Linked DNA regions of Lytechinus pictus. Each later gene encodes a partner of the first gene's protein in a complex. Links are inferred from orthologs where the notes say so. Each region holds a gene or a part of one and is shown on either strand. Other genes may lie near its edges.

The links. The genes of interacting proteins can lie anywhere in the genome.
Region 2: phosphatidylinositol N-acetylglucosaminyltransferase subunit Q-like (region 1) and phosphatidylinositol N-acetylglucosaminyltransferase subunit H-like share a complex: the UniProt entries of both Homo sapiens proteins name them as parts of the glycosylphosphatidylinositol-N-acetylglucosaminyltransferase (GPI-GnT) complex. The link is inferred for Lytechinus pictus from reciprocal best matches to the Homo sapiens genes PIGQ and PIGH.
Region 3: phosphatidylinositol N-acetylglucosaminyltransferase subunit Q-like (region 1) and phosphatidylinositol N-acetylglucosaminyltransferase subunit C-like share a complex: the UniProt entries of both Homo sapiens proteins name them as parts of the glycosylphosphatidylinositol-N-acetylglucosaminyltransferase (GPI-GnT) complex. The link is inferred for Lytechinus pictus from reciprocal best matches to the Homo sapiens genes PIGQ and PIGC.

Annotation. Positions count from the first base shown.
Region 1 is NC_087254.1:10,567,012-10,574,829, forward strand, and holds the start of phosphatidylinositol N-acetylglucosaminyltransferase subunit Q-like, read left to right. Parts: upstream 1-4,813; 5' UTR 4,814-4,852; coding exon 4,853-4,976; intron 4,977-5,836; coding exon 5,837-6,608; intron 6,609-7,818. Other genes in the region: trichohyalin-like, read left to right, coding at 350-2,922. UniProt on the Homo sapiens protein: Part of the glycosylphosphatidylinositol-N-acetylglucosaminyltransferase (GPI-GnT) complex that catalyzes the transfer of N-acetylglucosamine from UDP-N-acetylglucosamine to phosphatidylinositol and participates in the first step of GPI biosynthesis.
Region 2 is NC_087251.1:13,833,537-13,841,521, forward strand, and holds the start of phosphatidylinositol N-acetylglucosaminyltransferase subunit H-like, read left to right. Parts: upstream 1-4,783; 5' UTR 4,784-4,895; exon of another isoform or gene 4,896-5,081; intron 5,082-5,134; 5' UTR 5,135-5,262; coding exon 5,263-5,502; intron 5,503-6,313; coding exon 6,314-6,386; intron 6,387-7,073; coding exon 7,074-7,201; intron 7,202-7,907; coding exon 7,908-7,985. Other genes in the region: centromere-associated protein E-like, read right to left, coding at 1,772-1,857, 4,504-4,564. UniProt on the Homo sapiens protein: Part of the glycosylphosphatidylinositol-N-acetylglucosaminyltransferase (GPI-GnT) complex that catalyzes the transfer of N-acetylglucosamine from UDP-N-acetylglucosamine to phosphatidylinositol and participates in the first step of GPI biosynthesis.
Region 3 is NC_087259.1:10,793,774-10,801,811, forward strand, and holds the start of phosphatidylinositol N-acetylglucosaminyltransferase subunit C-like, read left to right. Parts: upstream 1-4,836; 5' UTR 4,837-4,920; intron 4,921-8,038. UniProt on the Homo sapiens protein: Part of the glycosylphosphatidylinositol-N-acetylglucosaminyltransferase (GPI-GnT) complex that catalyzes the transfer of N-acetylglucosamine from UDP-N-acetylglucosamine to phosphatidylinositol and participates in the first step of GPI biosynthesis.

The sequences.
Region 1 (7,818 bases):
TTCACCACGAATTGAAATCAATTCAATATTTTTGTTTGTTTCATAATTATTTGTCCATCCGATAGCATCTCAAGTGATTCCAGCGTTCAGATATCATCTTGCTGATGTATTAGAGTTCGACAAATATGTATATTTGAACGACATAAATGTTGAACAGATAGATGACTTTATTCACATGCTGAAGGAGCAAGCATCATTGATGAGGTCATCCAGTGAATCTTCGGCAATGACGGGGGCTGAGGAGGAGATGGAGGAGGATCAGGAGCTAGAGGAGGAGCAGGAGCAGCAGCAGCAACTAGAGGAGGATAAGGGAGCGGAGGATGAGCAGAAGGAGGAGGATAAGGGACAGGAGGAGGAGCATCAGCAGAAGGAGGAGGAAAGGGAGAGGAGGAACAGCAGCAGCAACAGGAAGGGGAGGATAAGGGAGAGGAGGAGCAGCATCAGCAGGAGGATAAGAGAGAGGAGGAGGAGCAGCAGCAGCAGCAGAAGGAGGATAAGGAGAAGCAGCAGCAGAAGGAGGATAAGGGAGGTGAGGAGGAGGAGAAGCAGCAGAAGGAGGATAAGGAGAAGCAGCAGCAGGAGGAGGATAGGGGAGAGGAGGAGGAGCAGCAGAAGGAGGATAAGGGAGAGGAGGAGGAGCAGGAGCAGCAGAAGGAGGAGGAGGGAGAGGAGGAGCAGCAGCAGAAGGGGGATAAGAGAGAGGAGGAGGAGCAGCAGGAGGATAAGGGAGAGGAGGAGCAGCAGCAGGAGGATAAGGGAGCGGAGGAGGAGCAGCAGCAGGAGGAGGATAAGGAGAAGCAGCAGCAGGCGGAGGATAAGGGAGAGGAGGAGGAGCAGCAGCAGCAGGAGGATAAGGGAGAGGAGGAGCAGCAGCAGCAGAAGGAGGATAAGGGAGAGGATAAGGAGAAGCAGCAGCAAGAGGGGGATAAGGGAGAGGAGGAGCAGCAGCAGCAGGAGGATAAGGGAGAGGAGGAGCAGCAGCAGCAGAAGGAGGATAAGGGAGAGGATAAGGAGAAGCAGCAGCAGGAGGAGGATAAGGGAGAGGGGAAGGAGGAGGAGCTGCAGCAGCAGCAACTGGAAGAGGAGGAGCAGCTGCAGCAGCAGCAGGGGAAAGAGGATAAGGGAGAAGATGATGTGGAGGAGGAGATAAAGGAGCAGCAGCAACAGCAACAGGGGGAGGAGGCAGAGGATAAGAAAGAGGTGGAGGAGCATCAACAGCAGCAGGATAAGGGAGAGGAGGAGGAGGAGCAGCAGCAGGAGGATAAGGGGGAGGAGGAGCAGCAGAAGGAGGATAAGGAGAAGCAGCAGCAAGAGGAGGATAAGGGAGAGGAGGAGCAGCAGCAGCAGCAGAAGGAGGATAAGGGAGAGGATAAGGAGAAACAGCAGCAGGAGGAGGATAAGGGAGAGGGGAAGGAGGAGGAGGAGCAGCAGCAGCAGCAACAACAGGAAGAGGAGGAGCAGCTGCAGCAGCAGCAGCAGGGGAAAGAGGATAAGGGAGAAGATGATGATGAGGAGGAGATAAAGGAGCAGCAGCAGCAGCAACAGGGTGAGGAGGAGGAGGAGGATAAGAAAGAGGTGGAGGAGCAGCAACAGCAGCAGGATAAGAGAGAGGAGGAGGAGCAGCAGCAGCAAAAGGAGGATAAGGAGAAGCAGCAACAGAAGGAGGATAAGGGAGGTGAGGAGGAGGAGAAGCAGCAGAAGGAGGATAAGGATAAGCAGCAGCAGGAGGAGGATAAGGGAGATGAGGAGGAGCAGCAGCAGCAGAAGGAGGATAAGGGAGAGGAGGAGGAGGAGCAGCTGAAGGAGGAGGAGGGAGAGGAGGAGCAGCAGCAGAAGGGGGATAAGGGAGAGGAGGAGGAGGAGGAGGAGCAGCAGGAGGATAAGGGAGAGGAGGAGCAGCAGCAGGAGGATAAGGGAGCGGAGGAGGAGCAGCAGCAGGAGGAGGATAAGGAGAAGCAGCAGCAGAAGGAGGATAAGGGAGGTGAGGAGGAGGAGGAGAAGCAGCAGAAGGAGGATAAGGAGAAGCAGCAGGAGGAGGAGGATAGGGGAGAGGAGAAGCAGCAGCAGCAGAAGGAGGATAAGGGAGAGGAGGAGGAGGAGCAGCAGAAGGAGGAGGAGGGAGAGGAGGAGCAGCAGCAGAAGGGGGATAAGGGAGAGGAGGAGCAGCAGCAGCAGAAGGAGGATAAGGAGAAGCAGCAGCAGCAGAAGGAGGATAAGGAGAAGCAGCAGCAAGAGGAGGATAAAGGAGAGGAGGAGCAGCAGCAGCAGAAGGAGGATAAGGAGAAGCAGCAGCAGGAGGAGGATAAGGGAGAGGGGAAGGAGGAGGAGGAGCAGCAGCAGCAACAGGAAGAGGAGGAGCAGCTGCAGCAGCAGCAGGGGAAAGAGGATAAGGGAGAAGATGATGAGGAGGAGGAGATAAAGGAGCAGCAGCAGCAGCAGCAACAACAGGGTGAGGAGGAGGAGGATAAGAAAGAGGTGGAGGAGCAGCAACAGCAGCAGGATAAGGGAGAGGAAGATGAGGAGGAGGAGCAACAACAGAATAAAAGAGAGGAGGAGAAGGAGGAGCAGCATCAGCAGCAAGAGCAACAGGAGGAGGAGGAGGCGGATGAAGAGGAAGAGAAGGAGGAGGAGGAGGAGGAGGAGGATGATATGAACGACTCATCTGCCGTAGAGGAACAATGTGAAGTGAGAAAGCTGGGAGAGGTACAGGTGAAAGAGGAAGTCAAGCGGGGTCAAACCGAGGAGGTTGAGATGCTGGAAGGGGACAATCCTAAGGGGCAGAATCACTGTGAAGATAAGAAGCATTGCGAACTTCAACTTGTGGAGGAAGATATGGACAGGGATAGAGAAAATGACTTGGTCGAGGAACATCATACTAAGAGGAGGAAAAAATGGTGGCATAAATTACTATGCTGTTTCTGAAACTGTCCTGCAAAAAGCCACTTACGAGGGAAAGGGAGGGGGGATCAAACAGACAATATCAAGACCATCGTATGTTATCGAAAACTTCAGCATTCTGGCAAGAGCAAAATTATTCCCGGGCTCTTATCTTACCCAGCACCAAATCAAGACTGTTGCTATTCAATTATATATTTATGCCTTTATTTATCATGCACAATGTGATAATATTGTTATGTAATTAAATTGAAAATAAATGTAAAGTGGAAATCATTAGCCAATGTGAAAGCCTCTTCTTTTTTTAACTGAGAAGAGACGAAAGAGAGAAGGAAGGAAGGAAGGTGGGAAGGAAGGAAGAAATGAAGGAAGGAAGGAAGAAAGGAAGGAAGGAAGAAATTGAGGAAGGAAGGAAAGAAGGAAGAAAGAAAGAAAATGAATAAAGAAAGAAAAAAAGAGAGAGAGAGAAAGAAAGAAAGAAAGAAAGAAAGAAAGAAAGAAAGAAAGAAAGAAAGAAAGAAAGAAAGAAAGAAAGAAAGAAAGAAAGAAAGAAAGAAAGAAAGAAAGAAAAAAGAAAGAAAGAAAAAGAAGGAAGGAAGAAAGAAAGAACGAAAAAATAATAAGGAAGGGGAAGAGCAGGAAGAGGGCGATAGGAAGGGGATCTCTTTTCCGCCTTAGCTAATTATTCCGATCCCTGACCCAGTATATGCTCTAAAATAGTATATGCAATTCGCATGAATGTATTTTTTTAAATATAGGCCCTATTCTGGTGGAACAATAGAAGAAATAGAATTACAAGTTTAGGGGGTGTATTTAACAAAAACGACGTACACTTCTGAATAGCAAAAGAACAAGATGTCAAAAAGGAGAAAAATAAACATAACCAGAGTAAGAGAATTACCTATCGATAAGATTCCAAATTAGGTAGCATTTTAAATTAATATTCTCTAGAATATTTCATTTTCATTTTGCCAGGTATATTGATGATGTAAATGACAAATAGAATCATAGAGATCGTTATAAATATAATACGTAATAAGACAAAGTGAACAAATGAAACATATTACAAAACTACATAAATTACATTATATGGATCGAACCTATAGATGCAGTGTATGTGTGTAACAAAAATAAAGCTAAAAGCATGAATAATAACATGATTTTTTTTTCTTCTTGATAAGAGGGCTTAGGGGATACTAACATCTATAAGCCGGTGTGATCTAACAATTAAGAGCTGGCAAGAGTACTATATTGTTTTCATAGAATAGGCCCTATTAGCTTTAAGAATAAAATATGAGTTTGATTCGTATGACCAATAGTTAATTATGGAACAATTAAACGGCTTTATTTTAAACACACTTACATAATGGTGAAATGGGCAATCTTCGCTGGCCAGCAATATATTACGAAATTATTTTCCCCAATATACAGTATATCATTTTCACACAATAAAGAGTACCACTTATTGGGGAAATTTTATTAGCCTTTATATAACCTCATCTTATTTCCATTAAGTTTTAAAAGGGGGTATTATTATTATTTTTATTTGTTTGTGTTCTCAGAGTTCAGATCAAAGGTGCAGAGAATCTGAATATAGATTTTTTTCTGTGACATGTTAGTTGCCACATAGAGACTCGAATGCGAATGGGGATGAATAGACTATAGGGATGAATGACGAGTGCTCAATATTGCGTGAAAATTTTGTGTCATTCGAGACGCTGTAACTAAGACTAAGTTCAGGACCATGTTCAACAGTCTGAAATTCGACCAAGTATTTATCTTTGATTGTAAGTAATAATTAAATTACTAATGAATTTGTGGCAGACTTTGTGATGAAAATGGTATACAAATGGGCATGTCAGAAATTTATTTAGATCCCCAGAAAATGTTACTCCCTTCTCTTCTAATGTTCACTAACACAAATGTTTATGAGTGGGACTGGGCTAAAAAAAAAGCAATGGTGTTTCTAAGCAAATACTACCAACAAGCACTAGCAGCTCATCAACCTTGTGACAGACACACTGAGAGTATACCGAGGAGATCATTTGGGTGTGGAAACGACCCACAACAACAACAACATGGTGTTTCTAGACAGCTGGCAGCTGTCTGTTTAATGTTTCGAGGAGTTTTTAAACATTTTTATATTTTTTTTAATTTCTCCTCGATCAGACGGCTCGCTATCGTGCAGCCACCATTAGGGGGTTAACAATGCAAAATCCTCCCGACGGGGCTCATCGATTTTTGTCTTTATTTCATAAAAATATTTAAAATGAACTGTACCAACATGACCAAAGTAAAGATAATAATATTCCGTTTTGGCCTGAATTGCACCAAAAATAAACAAAAAAAGGGGAAAAAACAGTGACTTACTTCGGCTGTCGTGCAACTTCACTTCCCTGTTTTATCCGAACTTAATACATGTATGGCCATTGAGTCCCTGTATATACCGATCGAGCTAGAATTTCGGTCTCTCTATTTGGTGAGTGGAGCCAACGGAGTTCAGCGGAACGACTAACATAACAGAGACCGTAGACTAGTAGATGATGATGATGTAGCTTTAGTTTAGGCCTACAAGTACAACCGAAATCAGGAAGGAACATTTCTGACACTCCGACTCCTTTCTTCAGCTAATTTTAAGAGAGTAATGATTTTAAAGCAATTTCATATAGAGGTCTAGATCTAGATTTAGAATCTGCTTCTGCATGCTATTTGCCCAAATGTAAAATTGTTTTCAATGTTTCTTTAATTTAATTTGAATCTTACGTACATACAAGTAAACTTCATTTCCTGTGACAATCGGTCACTTGAGGAATAAAAAGTGAAACCACATGCTTTAGCAAATGACCAAATATTGGAAAAGACTGTTTTATGTTGTATAAGTATAAAAAGATTAATCTAATAACATTATTATTTTCTTTGATTGTTTTGTTTTTTACTACAGAGCCTGCACTGTGGGATTTAAATGGAAATTTGAATTGTTTGGATGCATCTCGGACTGGAAGAAGTATGGAGGGGACTGCTGTACTCAAAATCTTCTTCCCTGAAAGCTTGTTGAATGCAAGGAGTGGGTTGTGCCTTGGAACCACACACCCGGACAAACGGTGCATGTGTGTTTTAGCCATCGTCCATCCATCTGAAGATGATCATGCTCCAGAACTGGAGATTAATCTCCCTGTCATCGGTATATATGAGAACGTGAGCAGAGACCCGAGACCAGATACAGACGAGAAGAGTCGTCACATCGGCTGCATCGTTGAAATGACACAAAAACATCACAATGAGATTCCGGCTTGTAGGATCGTCCGATCACCTTGGCAACATGTAGGCGGTCCAGGGAACATTCGCATTCTCTTCGTACTGTTCAATGATTATCATATACTAAACGCCCAGTACGTCTGTTTAGACGATAGCAAGCGGGGTGCAGATTCAGCGAAGAATGATTCTCATGGATCCACGCCTTCCATGTTGAAGGAACATAAGAAACCCATAACCCACCAATGTGAGGCAGTGGACTTCTTATTTTCAGCTGTCCGTCACTTTTCTAAGAATGCACTTCCGGCGTCTCCTCCCAATATACCCATGTCATGTTTACAAAGAAACTCCAGTAGTAAAGGATTTCGTATATGCAGTCAAATCTGTGAGATTTGTTTTATCTTGCCAGTCTTATTCATGAGATCTCTGTTTTACTGCTTGGACAGTATCAAGGAAACAAGGTGATTACCTGCAATACACAACATGAAATGGTAGTTGAATCTCTATTTCATTTTTGTATTTTCCTGTTTCTTCTTCGAGATAGTGCTGTGCTGTAGTATAAAAATGTTAGAATTAGTGATGTCACAGTATTTTGTTACAGAAAGTGAAAAAAATCCCTGTTCTATAGTAGGTAGGTATCAGTAAGTTAGAGGCAAGCACTATAAACGTGATCTGAAAAAGCTTGGGCTATTTTGAGCTGTTGACAACCAGTTGTGGGATGAATACAGCTGTGATGTCACATTTTTTTTCTGTTGGCTTGATTTATGATAAGTTCTGCCTCTGTAAACGTCCAACAGGGTGTTGCAAGAAAATATTTTCAATCAATTGCAAATATTATGTTGCAATCAATAGCTGTTGCAATTTTAAAATTAATAGATCAATTTCAACTGTAGCAAATTGTTTCAAGAAGCAGTTTAGCAATCAATCACAAATCTACAATTAATTACAAGACATATGATTGATTTAGGGACCAACAATAGACTTGCAATCAATCACAAGTTTCTTGCAACGCCCCACAAGATTGCTTGTCATGTTTTTGATAATTGCCATTTTCTTCAGGGTACATGTAACCTGCCTTATATTTGCCTAGTTAATATTTTTGAAATTCATTTTAGAACACACATGTGTGGTCATAACTTTTTCAGATAACATGCTTGGTATATTATAATGATAATGTACAGACGGTAAAGATGATAAAGATTTGCTTACAAAAGGAATCACTTTGGTCACTTATTCCACATGATAGTAAGTAAGATATAGTAAGAAAGGGGGGGGGGGGACAAAAATGAAAAAGTGAAAAAGTCAAAGTCGTAAACATTCATGTATAATATCAAGTTACTGAGTACAAGTTTAATAAAAATAATTGAAAGGAACGTTTACTGTAAAACAGAAAGTTGATTCTTAAGATGGTTTGGAATAGTACTCCAAAGATGAGGACCGCTATAAAATACAGTATTCTTTGAAAAATTAGTTCTGACTTAAGGAATATGGTATTCTACAGCATCGCGTGTAGTATACTTATGTACATTACAATTAAGGACAAATTTAGATGCTATCAGAGTAGGTAAAATGCCTTTAGACAACATAAACATAAATATGGCAACATTCAATTTATTTGTCATATTTGTCAGCTTAGAAAATATTGGCAAGGAGTGGGCATTATACGGTGAA
Region 2 (7,985 bases), on another chromosome or scaffold:
GACTAAGAGGCAATTTATATGATATCAAAGATGATTATCCTTTGATGCCATCTTTTTATATTGGGACCTTTGATATTGCTCCCGAATGGTTAAAATAAATGAATTTTCTGCCAATGTCATTCAGGGATCATGATGATTGATTGTAATCAATTAAAATAAGAGGGGGACAGGTATAATAATCAAGAGAGCACAGAGTATGGGGAATGGAGGAAGTGAGAGTTAGAAAAGGATAAGAGACAGAGAGAGAGAAAGAGAAGAGAGAAGAGAGAGGGTGAAAGAGAAACAGCCAAAGAGACAAATAGAGGGAGAGAGAGAGAGAGGAGGTATATAAAGGGGGAGATACAGGAACTGAGAGAAGAGATGTACAGAGAAACAGAGAGATGAAGGGACAAAAGCAGAGAGGCAGAGACAGCAGAGAGAGAGAGAGAAGTGGCAGAGATGAGGGGGTGACAGTGAGATGGTGGAGAAACCACTTGTAATACATATTGCAATAATGTAAATATGCCATCAACCTAGCTACAAAGAATACCATAATGATTGAACCCCTAAGGGAAGTTAATGCTGTTTGATTTAAACACATTTTTTTCATATCACCCATGTTCAAACACAAATACTAGATTTTAAATGGCTATTACACTTTGTTGGGCTGTATATTAATATCTTTTATTGAAACAAGGGTTTGATGATTGATTTGAAAACAAGAACTCTATGAATCATGAATCATAGTTTATTTGTTGCTAAACCCTAAATTGGAGATCATAAAATGGTAAGGGAGAATGGCCATTATGGGCCTGTAACACAAAGCTCAACAATCATTGCAGAACAATGTCTTTATGATTGTGTGCATTGACAACAATGTACAATCTATAAATAAAAATCAAGGGTACAATCAATCGCTAACATTAATATTGAAACGATTGTAAACAGCAGGTTAGATACAGGATAATGTTAGTTCCTTGTGGTACTTTATTCTGGCAATATAATGAGTTTGCAGAACAACAATTAGATGATCATTGTGACCTAATGGTGATATAGGCAGGGTTTGGCTCAATTACAAAGTAATTGATGAATTACGTAATTAATTACATTTTTGGAGCAATTTAATTTGTAGAGTAATTTGTAATTGAAATTTTTTAGGAGAACGTAATTGTAATTGAAAAATTGTAATTGACTCAAATTACTGTCAATTACTTTTAATTACATTCAATTACATTATAACTTAATTTATTATTCAATTTACTCTGGATTGCTTATTTCTCTTTTCCCTTAGCTATATAGTGCTCTCTTGCATGAAACTGTATCCTTTCCCATGATAGGGAGGAAAGAGGAGATGCTATTGCTATAAAGAAGTGCACAAAATGGGTGGCGCTACATACAAAATATGAATTGATCTGATTTATGACTTATAGAAAGTAATTGAATTGTAATTGTAAATTTAGCATATCTTCAATTACGAAATTGCAATTGTAATTGAAGAAAGTAATTGAGCCCAACCCTGGATATAGGTGATTACTTACTAATCATGAATATGATGATGATGACGACGATGATGATGATCAGATGACAATGGTGGCAATGATCAGATAACAAAGGTGGTAAGAATTGTATGACAATGGAGGTTACAATGATGATGAAAAGAACAAACTCCAGGAACAACAAAACCCTAGAATTAAATTAAATTGACCTAGAAAACGTAAGGTAAACCTCACCAAATGATAGATTTATTATGAAAATTGTGGGGGTTTGGCAAAGGTTGATATGAAATTCTTACCAATTCTTTGATAGCTTCTGATACTCCGTCAATCATTGTAATATCATTATCTCTGAAGCCAAATTCTTCACTCTTCATCCGTTCAGCTATCAAAGTAAGCAAAAAGCATAACACAATAAATTAAAAAGATACATCTACCTAGAGATCAAATACATGTCAGTTATCATGGCTGTCTTCCATCAACACTCTGGGTCCAATCATCACATAAACTGCCATCTTGCAAATCTCTGTCACCATTCCCATATGGCAGCTACAAGTTTAACTCAAACCTCGCATTGCCATTAGTATTTAAGCTTCTTGCTCTTGGCCAATAATCTTTGGAAAATTTACCACAAATTAGAGAAAGGTGTTTTTATATTAAAATCGTCATCCATGTACTTTTTATCACTTGTAAATAATGTGCTCCCCGATCCCCAGTCTTGTCTTCAGATGGCTACGTAAACATTGGCAAGTTTTTCCCCCGTCTTCTCAAAATATAATTCTTGGTGGTTTTTTTTAATGAATATTTGCTTAAAAATGAAATCAACATTCTTTGAATGTCGGAAATGAAGTTCTACATGTATCCCATGCATAATTTAGGGCTAGATCTTTTACAGGGAAGGTAGAAATCTTCGGGGCGAAAATTGCAACGTTGACCGCAGTATACGCACATGAATGGGGCACAATCCCTGGCTCTGTGGAGAATAAGCACACGTTAGTGATTTTTTCTCTCTAGGAGCCTCCTGGTGGAGGTGGGGGAGTATGATGGTTGTCCCCAAGTCTGCACACCTAAGAGTTGAGTTAAGATTTAACATGAACTTCTTTTTATTTCACAAAATCTTTAGGTTGATAACGTTCCTTATATTATTATGAGGAAGTGTGCCAAAAATCTCATAAAAATTTGAAAGAAATATATGATTTTCTCGGGAAAAACCTCAGTCAATCATTTTCAGATTCAACAAAAAAATGGTGCCCCATGTCTGCGCACCCATTCACTTTGCATGGGATCCAGGGATTTTGATGACAACAGCTGCATTTTGAGGCCGTCACATGAAATTACCATTGAAATCAAATGCCCAAAGTTCATTATTTTTCCACTATTTTGAGTCGTATTTTTTAATGAATGTCTGTCTATGTATTGCATTTGCATATGTATAGCTTGTGTTTGTTGCGTATCTTCTTTTACTAGAAATAGAATCGCGCAGGTATGCGTATGTGCAGACAAAGGGGGACTGCACAGACTTGGGGGAACCTGTCATACCAGAAAAGAAAGGGAAGTACAAAAAAGAGGTGAGAAATAATAATGATTATGAAAATAAAATGAAAATAGATAAATGATTTAGCATGTTTAGTAACATCTTACTGATCTTAGTATTGTATCGCGTTTTTTCCTGAACGTTATATAAACATGTTTTCTTTACCATACATGATTTCTTTTAAAAAAATTTGTTTTCATGTTGTTTATCTTATGATAAAGCATGAGGGGTCAGAGAGATTGCCGGCCATTTCGATATTTCAAGTTTGGTTGAATAAAAAATGGAAAAGGTGTGGGGAAAAGAGGGAGAAAATGTGAGAAAATAAAAGAAAACACATTTTTTTTAAATATTATATATGAGGCCCCTTATGGGCCTAAATTACCCCGGAGAAGTTAAAATGACATCCGTTTTGCCATGAAATTAATGACAGCCCCCATAAAAATAACTTGGCGCCATCCCAGATAAAATGCATCAGAGTGCAATCGAATGACCCCCAAAAATGTTTAAATGTGATATGTCAGTGTGGCTTGCCGTAAACGCATTTTCTCTCAATGCTGACGGTGGCGGGCGGTGTGCAAAGTCGATCATGCCTACGTAGGACATGTCTGGAGGTGTCTTTCTAAGGTCAAGGACCATTCTTCGTATCGCCCAAATCGGCTTTGTGAAACAGTTGAGCGATATCTCGTTCTTACTCTTAGTTCTTACGTAGAACGGTTCTACGAAAGACCCTTTCATGCAACAGGCCTGAGGGAGCTCTGGCCCGGAGCTCCCTGGGTTAGGCATGACCTAGAACAGTCAAAAGCTTCGGTCTCTGTTATGTTGGTTGTTCCGCTGAACTCCGTTGGCTCCACTCACCAAAATACAGAGACCGAAGACGAAGTTCTAGCTCGATCTGTACAGGGGACTCAATGGCCATATGTTTATGTATTACTATTAAGTTCGGATAAAACAGGAAAGTGAAGTTGCACGACAGCCAAAGTCAATGTTTTTTCCCCCGTTTTTGTGCATTTCAGGCCAAAACGGAATAATTAATCAATCATCATCTTTATTTTGGTAGGTCTAGTTAAGTTAGGCCTAGGGCTAGGCCTACAGTTCTTATCTTATTCTAGGCCTAGCCCTAGGGCTAGGCCCTATATTTTTATGAAATAAAGAAAAAAATCGATGAGCCCCGTCGGGGGGATTTTGCATTGCATTGTTAACCCCCTAATGGTGGCTGCACGATAGCGAGCCGTCTGTGTACGAGGAGAAATTAAAAAAAAAAATTAAATGTAAATAAAAAAAACTCCTCGAAACAGACGGCTGCCAGCTGTCTAGGCATGACCGGGCCCGGCCGCCAGAGCTTCGGGGTGTGTGTACGTGAATTCCCGGTATGGTACCGGGTTCCATTCGATGGTACGATACGGCGTAGGCTATAGCCTATAGTATAACCGCAGGGGCCGGGCCGGGCAATAAATAAAAACCCATCAAACCCAAATGTAATCCAAATTAAATAATAACCTAATTCTTGAAGACGCTGGAGTGCAGCATTCACTCCTGGCATTTCCGTGCTGGCAGACATTTTGGCCAAATTTCTCTGGATCCTGTTTTAAAAAAACCGTGTTGGACTTGGACTTTGGAGTACGGTAGGTCGCGAAGAGTTTCCCGTTGCCTGGGGTGCAAGTAAACAACTACAGAGGGCAGCATAGCGGAAGTATTTTGTTCAGTCCCATCCCACGTACTGATATCTGTGTTTATAAAATAGCTGTATTATTTCAAGCATCGCGATTGGTCAATACGCGTCACATGACATCCAACTTTTTTTGTGCACTGCACGGTAGTGCAAAAGGTGTGCAACGAAAATTGACATTGCACGCTCGAGCAAACCAGTGCGGTAGAAGTCCAACAAAACTGTACTGTAACTTTTAAAAAAATTGTTTCTGTGTTGCTATTTTATAAAACAAATAATGCACTTGCTCTGTCGTGCGTAAAAGTAAATGCAGAGAAAGCTCGGTTTCTTCAGATGGAGCACACTGGGCACTCGCCGCAAGCGGCTCGTGCACAGTGCGACTCCTATCTAAAGAAACCTCGCGTGCTCTGCATTTCCACTAACGCACTCGGCTGCATGCATTATTTGTATAAAATAAGACAGACGACTTGCATATACATTCACATACGAAGTTAGTGCTGGCTTCAAATTTGTCTAGATCTAAATTCTAAGTTAGATCAAATTGTGTTTCATCCGACGTCAATTTGCGGTGATGACGGCCCTTTAACATAATGATGGATACAGATTTGAAGAATGATTTCTACCATGCCCAAAATGTGAAGGAGGATGTGCAATTATTAGGCCAGGGCTTGTTGAGGAAAGGCCAAGGACATGAAGGAGGTGTGAAATGGAAAGATGACCAGCTTGTCTGTGAAATATCTGTGACTGCAAAACAGTCAAAACCAAGTTGTCATATAGGGGGTCTATTGCATATTTTCTTCTTTATGTCAGCAGTAGGACTCACGGTTTTGGTGAGTATATTAAGACAGGGCTTGTTTATTGTTGAATAAAATGTTTATATTTTAATTTTTATGAACGCAAAAATGAAAGTAAATCGAGGCGGCTCTGTCATGTCTGTTAATGGTTAAATAAAAAGATGAAATATAGTCATAATTTGTTTAAAAAGAATCACCATGCATTTGAATGTGATTTGCATGATGATAATCTAAATTATCTAGCTCTTTCTACATCACTAATTTAGTAACAGCCTATGGCTATGTCCCCTCCAGCTCCCCCTAAATTAAAGTGATGTATTAACTTTGTTGGTAAAAGTTGTGATTAATTGAATGTGAAATAGATTCTACAATGTAATATGTGTACGTCGTATGAAACATTTCATAAATGAAATGAAAAATGGAAAGTAAAATGAAAATGATGAAGTTAGGTGCAAAATATGGTCAGCCGAAATGTAGGGTCTTGTCTTTCTACTTCCATGGTCTTGTTCACTTTCCAAATTTCCTGGTTTCGGGATCCGGGTCGCTCTTGGCATTGTCACTCATCAGCCTCTATCGCTTTTGTTGAAGCTTTCATTTTGATTATGAAACACCGAAATTTTGTCGCAAATAGAAACTTTACTGAAATGACAGTGTTTGAGACTAATAATACCTTTAGCCTATATTGTGAGTCAAATTTGGAAAGCTTGATGAGAAGATCATGTTTAGTTAAATAGATATGATTACTGTATAGAATGAATAATTTCCATGGAATGATTTTCATGAATGTTATGATTTATTAAATCTTTTACCCAAATAAGATTATTTTAAATCCAATTTTCTTTTACAGTTCTGGAATGCAGTTCTCGCTATCATGATTAGTGTTCTGTTCTTTCTGTACATTCATTCTTCAGTTTCAAAAGGTAAAACTAACAAGTCCTTGACCTTACATGTGATGATTTTTTTCTAAAAGTAACAGTTCATTGATGTGGGGAGCTGAATGACAAAGTAAAACTTAAGAAGTAATAAAACTGGTGAATCATAAATAGAGTGATAAAAGCTACAACTAAAGAGCAGCAAACAATGCAAGAACTCAGAAGACAAAATAAAATGGATTGAAATTAGAATTCGGAGAAGTTATGTGTGTTGGTGTGTAGGCCTAATAGGAAAGGACTGAGGGAGACATGAGAAGAACCTGCATACAACATAGGGTAATCAGATAAATTGTACCAATAATACCTCATGAAATCTGAACTGAGGTGATACAGAAATGAACAGAACTATATATTTTACCAGACTGAATGGATTAAAATCAAACAAAATGAAACATACATAAAATTACCAATTATAATACATTGTGAATATTTTTTTGGTTTCGATTCTCAATTTTTACTGTATTTTTAATTTTTTTATTTCTGTAATCTTCATTAGAAATAACATTTTAATTTAATTCCATATTTGTAAACTCTAGGCCTATTTTTTAAGATCATTTTTCTAGAGTGTTTAAGTACACTTTGTTCTTGATAATCTCATTTTGTAATCCTCACTCATTGAATTGACTATCTTTTGAATATTTTGATGTACTGTATTGTTTCCACCTTGATTTGTAGAAACACTGCTTCTGATATCTTCCCTTGGGTTGCAAATATCTTCGGAGTATGTCACAGGACGCAGAGTCACCCAGTTTATTCCTTTCAGGGCAGTTCAAGACATTGTTATCCATGAAGCTGTAACAATGGTGAGTGATTTCTTATTTATCACTTGAGTGTTTTTAAAGCCAGGCTGACTTGAGAATCGATGGACAGTGTTATATCACTTAAACATCATCAGCGATTTCCCTCCTACCAAGGGTTACTGACTCTTGTGCCATGATAACAATCCCTCCTTATAAAGTGTTGTGTAACCTGTGCAATTAATCATTTTGATAGTTTTGCATTTGTACAGCAATGCAGGACTATGTCTGTGGTCCCAAGAAGACTTAGGCAGACTCACCTATCTTTACATTGTATGTCAAGTGGTAACTTTCTTCAAATTGCAAGTGAAAAATACTGCCCAAGTTCAGGTTTTATTTCCAAGATAACAAATAAAAAGAGACATGAAGTATTACAGTTTTTCAGGCACAGATCCAGGAGGGGGGGTGGCAGCAGCTGCGGGCGCACCCCGTAAAATTTGAAAATACAATGGTGGACCCCATACAATTCCTTCATTGTGCACCCTGTACAATGGAACAAGGACCTTTTGTGTTTTTTGTGTGTTTTTTTTGCTTTTCGGACAAATTTGCGTCCCATAATAGTCTGACTGTAGCCGGTCCGCGCCTGTAGTTGTTATTTGTTTATTTAATATTTGATACTGGCTCTCTTTTGACAACAATACTGACATGTGTGTAAATTAATTCTAAAAGCTCTCTCTCTCTCTCTCTCTCACTCTCTTTTATCATGTTCTAGAACAAGGTTGTTTACTATTTGGCTGTTCTTTTGAAACATCAAAATGGTAAAGAGTGGACAAATTCATTGGTGCCAGTT
Region 3 (8,038 bases), on another chromosome or scaffold:
CCCAAATGCAGCTTAATATTGAATAAAGATAGCCTACATAGGCTATTAGCTCGCTAAGCTATCTTCTTTAGACATGAAAATGTTTTTAGAGATATATATATACATATACATATATATATATATATATATATATATATATATATATATTGTAAAGAAATGGATGAAGAGAACAATGGTAGGCGTAGCTTAAATCAAGGTTCCCCAGAGCTATCTACCCTTTGGAAAAATTGGTGATGCCGAAAAAATGTCTCTGCCGGGAATCGAACCCGTGTACTGTATCAAAGCAATAGCTTTGATCCAGCTGAAGCATGGCGGCTTGTCATTGCTCGAAACCCACCTTCACCCGACAAAGGAAATTATAATTGGTATAGTGTCGAAAATCTGTCTATCTGACGGTCAGTCGGATCGGGGTCGCCCTAGCCACTAACCCGTCTCTGTGGTCTAGTGGTTAAGGCACCGGCGTTCAAAGCTGGGGGCCCGGGTTCGATTCCCGGCAGAGACATTTTTTCGGCATCACCAATTTTTCCAAAGGGTAGATAGCTCTGGGGAACCTTGATTTAAGCTACGCCTACCATTGTTCTCTTCATCCATTTCTTTACAATATTTAAATAAAAGAGTTGCCAAAGCTGTTGTACATGTATAACTTTACACATTTATATATATATATATATATATATATATATATATATATATATATATATATATATATATAGGCGTAAATAAATCAAGCATTAACGCTAGACGTAGCTTCCAAGTATCTCTTTTATTGCGAGCTTTCGGCCAGTGGGGCCTTCATCAGGCCTATAATGCATTGAAACAAACAAAATAGAACAAAACCATACAAATAAAATCGTAATAACAACAAAGTAAATAATGTGTAACAAAGGGTACAGAACAGAAGGATTACACTAAGATAAAAAAAAAAAAAAAATATATATATATATATATATATATATATATATAAAATCAAAGTGGGGGCTTACCATGCAAACAATCACAATCATATGGTAATTTTTACGTTTTTGTACACGATTTTGGAAAAAAAGGAGGGGGGCTGAAGCCCCCCCCCCCCCGGCTTCCGCGGCCCCTGATATGTATGTATATATAATTATCCCAGTCCTGAACTTGTGAATTGAACACAAAAAATACAAATCATATATTTAAACAGCACATTTTCCATAATTGAAGATGGGATCGTGAGACTGCTGACATGCATGTTTTAGCTTATGATATCATAATTTATAACGATCTTAGAATTATCTTTTTATCGATCACCATGCATAGGAATATTGTTTTCATTTATAAAGAAATAATTGCTCTGATCTGTTTAAAATGGGTTTTTGTTTGAAGACGTGACACCGTAAGATAGTAAGGGTGTGTACAATATGTCGGTTTCCAAATTCAAACGGCAGAATGAATCATGATTGAAAAAGTAATTACAAAACGCGGATATAGTGAGAAAACAAAGGGTGTGTTCGATGTTTCCTCCATCCCCGTTTATAAAAGTAAACGTCTTTCAAATCACGATTCAGTGGAAAATTTAAACGTTGAAAAGGACTTTGTGTTTGTAAACGCGATCAGCTCAGATTTTATGACCTTCGGCAATACGAATGCGATATTGAACACAGTTGAGTTTTGAAACGCCATTAAATTTGCTCTCGCAGTGGAAGCCTACACAAGCAGGTGCCAGAATTGACCTTTCTTGTGATGATGCTGGGTCAAACTGCGCTAACGAAAGCGGGAAATTTCTTAAAGACGATCGACAATTCAGCTTTATATTTTTGACACTAAACAGTCAGGGGCGTAACAGGGGTTGGTGGCCAGGTGGGGGGGGGGGGGGGGGGGGGGGGGCAAGAGCCAAAAATTTCCCGGTCATATCATGGAACAGGCATGAGGCAAAAATTTTGAGGGGGTGATATGGTGTATCGGGCAAAAAATAAAAATGCGAGCGAGCGAAATTTTGACATTTTTATAACAAAAATCAAATTTTGTGATAGATATTTTACATAATGTTAAAAAAGATAATATCATATTTCTCCCTTCTCCCTTTTTTGTACGCCACGGTGAATAGGAATTTTGTTATGATTGTGCGCATCAGGGCGAAGCTCTATATGCTCAAAGGGGGCCCAGTATGGCGCGTGTGGCAATTATAGTAGCTTAATATATTAAAGTACCGAGCGAGCGAGATAAAAAAAAAATCACCTTTTCATGAGAATCTAACACTAGATTTTGACGTGATATTCAGAAAAATATAATACACTTTTCCTTTGCTTTTCTGTCTTTCCTCCCTTTTTGCTGTTTGTTTTGGTTGTAGAACTTTTGGGGGCCATGGTCCAAACTCATCCATACAACAGAGCAACTACGTGGGTGGGATCCGGGGCGGAGACCCGGAACCTCTTGATATTAAAGCCATTTTAAACCTTACAGATGGCCACTAATTTTAATCATATTGCGTGTTTATCTATATAGCTTTCACACAACACATAAATTCAATGCAGTTGCGTAAATATTTTGAGGGGACACACCATAGCAAATGTGGGAAAATTTGTACAGTCGCCAGCGAGCGAAGCGAGCCAGAAAGAAAAATGGCTTTTATTTGAAATGAAATTCTAATTATGTGATAGATTTTTACATCATAGCAAATATCATGTCGTATATTTTTTTTCATTCGTCTCATTTCGCTGCCTCCTTTATTTTCTTTTATTTCCCATTGGCTGTGGAACCCCCGGTACGCCAGTGCTTAAACGCAAAGTTCAATGCAGGAAGGGTTCATACAGGGGCCGTATTGCCCGTATATAATGCTGTATAGAGCCCTTATAAAGGTTACAGGTTACAGATGAAGAGCCCCCATTGCACGGGATCTTGGACAGAGCCCCCGGTAGCTTTGGAGATTTAGCAAGTTTATGATGATAATTATATCGTCAATCCTCGGCATCCCGGTAGTTTTATCTTGTCCCTTTTCTTTATTTTCCAATTTAGATTTTGGCTCATTCCATTCTACCTCCATTTCCCGCTTTTTATCTTTCACACATGTTCTTCTTTTCTTCTTTTCCTCGTTTTCTTTCCGTTTTCCCTTTTTATTTTTTTTCCTTAGTTTTATTTTCCCTTTCCCTAATTTCCTTTTCCCCTTTCCTTTTCCCCTTTCCCTTTCCTTTCCCCCTGTTCCTCTTTATTTTCACTTCCTTGCCCTTTCCTTATTTCTCCCCTTTTTTGTCTTTTTCCCGTTTGTTTTATTTTCCCGGTGAACTCCACTAGGGGGGGGGGGGGGCAGCTTGCACATCTATTAATATTTAACTTGTCAGAATTGAATAACAATATCCCACACAAGCTAGTACTAGTAGCCTACTTGATTGAATGTAGAAGAAATAATTGGGAGCTTCAAGGCCTAATGATATATTTTTGTAACAACATACCAACCAAATTTTCCGGAGATACTCACCCGTACTCACCACCTTCCCAGAAGGAAAAACCAGTTCCACTGGACCAGTTAGACCAGTAGAATTTTAACTGGTAACTCTGGAAATTGGAACATCGGTTTACTGGTCTAACTGGTCATACTGGTCATACTGGTCCAGTTAAAAATTAAACTGGTCTTGAATTACTGGAAGTTTATACTGGTCTTGTTTCTGGTGATTGTTACTGGTCTTCATACTGGTATCCAATTCAAGCTGGTCTTTATTGGTATTTTCTACTGGTCTGACTGGTCCTCGAACTGGTCGAACTGGTCTTCGTACTGGTCTTACTGGATCAATTTATTACATGCATTTGGTTTGTTATATACCCTGGTCAGTGAAATGTGATGGAAAAGATGGTTAGTAAATTAATCTTTCTGCTGATATATGAAATTACACATTTTCATTGTGAATTAGTTCACACACTTTTTAAGAAAGTTTTTAAACAACAAAGAGTGCTATTGCAAGGATATTCCATTCTAAATCCTGATTTTTCTGTTAAAAATAGGAAATATGCAAATGAGGTAAACCATGTGATCAGCATCATCAGAATTACTGGTATTACTGGTCTTGACCAGTTCAATTTCAAACAATGCATTACTTTAGACCAGTTGACTATATGACGGGAATATATCTTGCTTTGATCTTAATCATAATTAAAGCCAAAAGGAAATAATTATTCTAATGATAATGTTAATACTTGATAAGTATGATAATATTAATAATAATTACAATATCAATAACAATGATAACAGTATTAAGAATGATAACAATGATCATAATAATAATAATAATGATAATGATAATTATAAGAATGATGATAACAATGATAAATGATAACGATAATAACTTTCTCTGAATTGCAAGATTCATTTTCCATAATTCGTCAAATGATCTAACTTGAAATAAAGTCATTTATTGGACCAGTAACACCAGTTTGATGAAAAACAATTAAACTGGTATTACTACTTTGCTTCAACTGGAATGCAATTGTTTGAACTGGTCTCCAGTTGATTCTTACTGGTCCAGTTAAAAATCAACTGGTCCAGTAAACATATACTGAAAACCAGTAAAAATCTACTGGAAACCATTTATTGGACCAGTAACACCAGTTTGATGAAAAACAATTTAACTGGTATTACTACTTTGTTTCAACTGGAATGCAATTGTTGGAACTGGTCTCCAGTTGATTTTTACTGGTCCAGTTAAAAATCAACTGGCCCAGTAAAAATATACTGGAAACCAGTAAAATTATACTGGAAACCAGTAAAAATTCTTACTGGTCTTACTGGTTTTTCCTTCTGGGTTATATTTTATTTATATTTTTGTCAAGAAAGGTCGCATTTTATTTCGATTTTTTTCCCCCTGAATGTTTTCTCGCTGAGGAGACCATAGCATATGGACGGGAGGCCGAGTATGCCGACCGAAAGAGCTGGACTATTTTTCACGTTGTAAATCACTGTCTGCGGTAAGTATGTACTGTGAAAGTAGGTATAGAGAGTTGAAATGTTTCACAATTTGGATGTAATGTAGGTTTAGATTAGAATAGATTAAAAATTCCAATAACTACCACCGCGCAGACCCTACTCAACTGTGATCGCGCAATTGCAATTCAGGCCCACGCTCGAGCAGGGCAGCTTTGCTGAGGCCCCCAGGGATTAGGCCAAGTTGGCACGCGGCTAACCCAGAGAGCTCCAGCCCGCGTAGCGGGCTGGAGCCCAGACGCGCAGTGTACAAACGGGCATTCAGGTGAGAGTACCGTGAAGTTTGGTCAATATCATTTACATAATACATAATTTAAACAGAAATTAAGCACTTACCACGATTGTATGGATGATAGTCTAACGAGTGGCAGTTTCCTGACATCGAGGCACAGACTGGAACCTCAAAAAACGATCAGTTCTGTCGCGGTAGCTCTCCTCTTTCAGAATTCAACACAAAATGGCCGATCGAGACCGAGGCTAGTATAGCACTAGCGCATATAGACTTTGTCAAATTCGCGCATGCGCCCTACACCCTCTCGAACGGCCATTTTGCTATGAATTTTGAAAGAAGGAGAGCCACCGCGACAGAACTGATCGTTTTTTGAGGTTCCAGTCTGTGCCTCGATGTCAGGAAACTGCCACTCGTTAGACTATCATCCATACAATCGTGGTAAGTGCTTAATTTCTGTTTAAATTATGTATTATGTAAATGATATTGACCAAACTTCACGGTACTCTCACCTGAATGCCCGTTTGTACACTGCGCGTCTGGGCTCCAGCCCGCTACGCGGGCTGGAGCTCTCTGGGTTAGCACGCGGCTAGCGGCTGCGCGGGTCCAGGGCTGGCAAAATTGCACTGACTGTGTGAGGCCTAACTTAGCCTTAGGCTTAGCTCGACCGGCGCAAATGCAGTTTCGCACTTGCAGACTTCCAGCAAATTTTCCTCCCAGTAATTGTTTGCAAATGTCATAGCTGATAGCAATTCTCTCGATCACATTTCCCGGGCCGTATTCTGAAAATTGTCTTAAGTCTAAGTAAGAGAAATAATATTCTTGTATAAGTTAACTTGTATGGTAGTGGATCGTATTACCGAACACTTTTCATGAATTCAATCATATCAAGCACATTATTCTCGTAAAATTCACCAAACTTTCACCATAAATACACAATTACCTACAAAATATAAATATGTAAAATTTTTGCCGAAATCGTTTTTCCTTTTTACGATTTTTGCTTCCAATCGGACCCCTCTTCGCATGTGAAATATTTTGGTCACTTGAAAAAGGTATCGTATTACCGAACGCGTGTTTTCTATGGGAAAAGTTGAGAAAACAACAAAATCACTGATGAGTTATTTTGACCAAATTTTATTGTTTTTAGAATATTAAGAGAAATAAGACTTTGAAAATGAGTTTTTGACCATTTTTCATCATCTTTCTATTCAAGTTCTCTTTGGAAGAATGTTGCGAAATTTTGAATGTATGAATTTTTTTCTGATGCGTATGATGCGCGCGTTCGGTAATACAAGGCCGGTCGGTAATACAATCACTCACTATACTAGTTGTAGCCTATCTTTTTTAGACTAGAGACAGAGTTACAATAAAAATTAAAATCCGTTTTCCGAAAATTGTCTTAACTTTTCTTGTAACTTTCACTGAGCGCGTATGATGTCAGAGATATATTGATGCGTGTATATATAATCGGCGCATATTATGTCTGTGCGCAAGATAAAATATCGAGTTACAACTACAAGGTATTCTGAAAATTCTCTTATCTTTGTGTTCTCTTAACTTCCTTGGAAAATACAATAAAATTTACAAGAGGTGGGGGGCTATTGTAACTTATTGTTGCATGCTATATTTGTCCGTCTGCAATAATTATTTCTTGCTGCATCCCGCAAGAACATCATGTTTTACAAAAGGAGACATTCCAAAGAAATAACGACGGATTGGTAGATTTTTCAGCAATTAAAAATGTGTGTTCGAGACGAAGAATCTTTTCAGAGAAAATATATCTTTGAGAAGAGCTAGCCTGGAGGCTTCTGGGGAGTAAAACTTCATCTACTATACGTAGGCTTACTCCCGCATGAAGCCTGGGCCTGGGGATCATTCCTCTCTGAGGCTAGGATTTCCCACGGTTACAGTAGACAAGGCTCCACATTAACTTTTTTTGGTGGTGGCCCGTTCGGGCCACCAAAACCTTCAAATAATTTTTTTTGGTGGCCCGATATTAAAGTTTGGTGGCCCGAAAAATATAAAGAAAAACATTGAAAATTAATAAATGGGTTTAAATGGTTTTTTAACCACTGTCAAAAAAATGAAAGAAAATAATAAAACGGCAAAAAAAAAGTGCGAGAAAATTCCTTCCCTATATTTGCCAAAATGTTGGAAAAATTCACATTTCATATTAATGAAATGCCTTCCCAAAGTATTTACTTTCTCAAGAGTTGTTTAAGAAGTCATTTATAAACAAGAAAGAAAGTAACTGTCTGTTTATTTTTGGCTAGAAAAGACCGGAAAAGGCACAGCTTCGAAAGAAACCAAGTAACAACATACATACAATTCAAATGAACACGTGGGACTGTGATGTACTCACCTATGTGTTTTTATGTGCATTATTTTCATTTGGAAATCGGTCTTTTTGAGTCAAAAGAGAGGTCATGATTCCTCTTTTAAATGCTTGAAAATAATCAGGATACACCAGATTTTGGCAAAAAGGTCTGTAGAAGGGCTTTTCATTGGTGTAAAATGTGACTTTGACTTGGATTTTCACAGTTCTGTGGAAGATTTCTTAGCTGCAACATTTCGTATTGCAGCTCCCTGAGTCTGAATAGACTGCTGACTCACAGCTGCTTGAAGCATGCAAAGCTCACGCCAGCCGGCCGGCGCGGCCGGCTGGATAAAAGCTACTTAATGCTATAGCGGTAGGCCAATTTTGTGTGTGTGTTTGTGTGTAGATCAACAAAAAGGGCGCATGACGAACTGGCTTGCAATTTGAACTGTAGAAAGTTGATAAATGCGTGCAAAATGGGGAGAAAAATTGCGCTATTCTGAAAATTATTGGTTGCCCGATTCGGGCCACCAAAACTTAATATTTTTTCAAT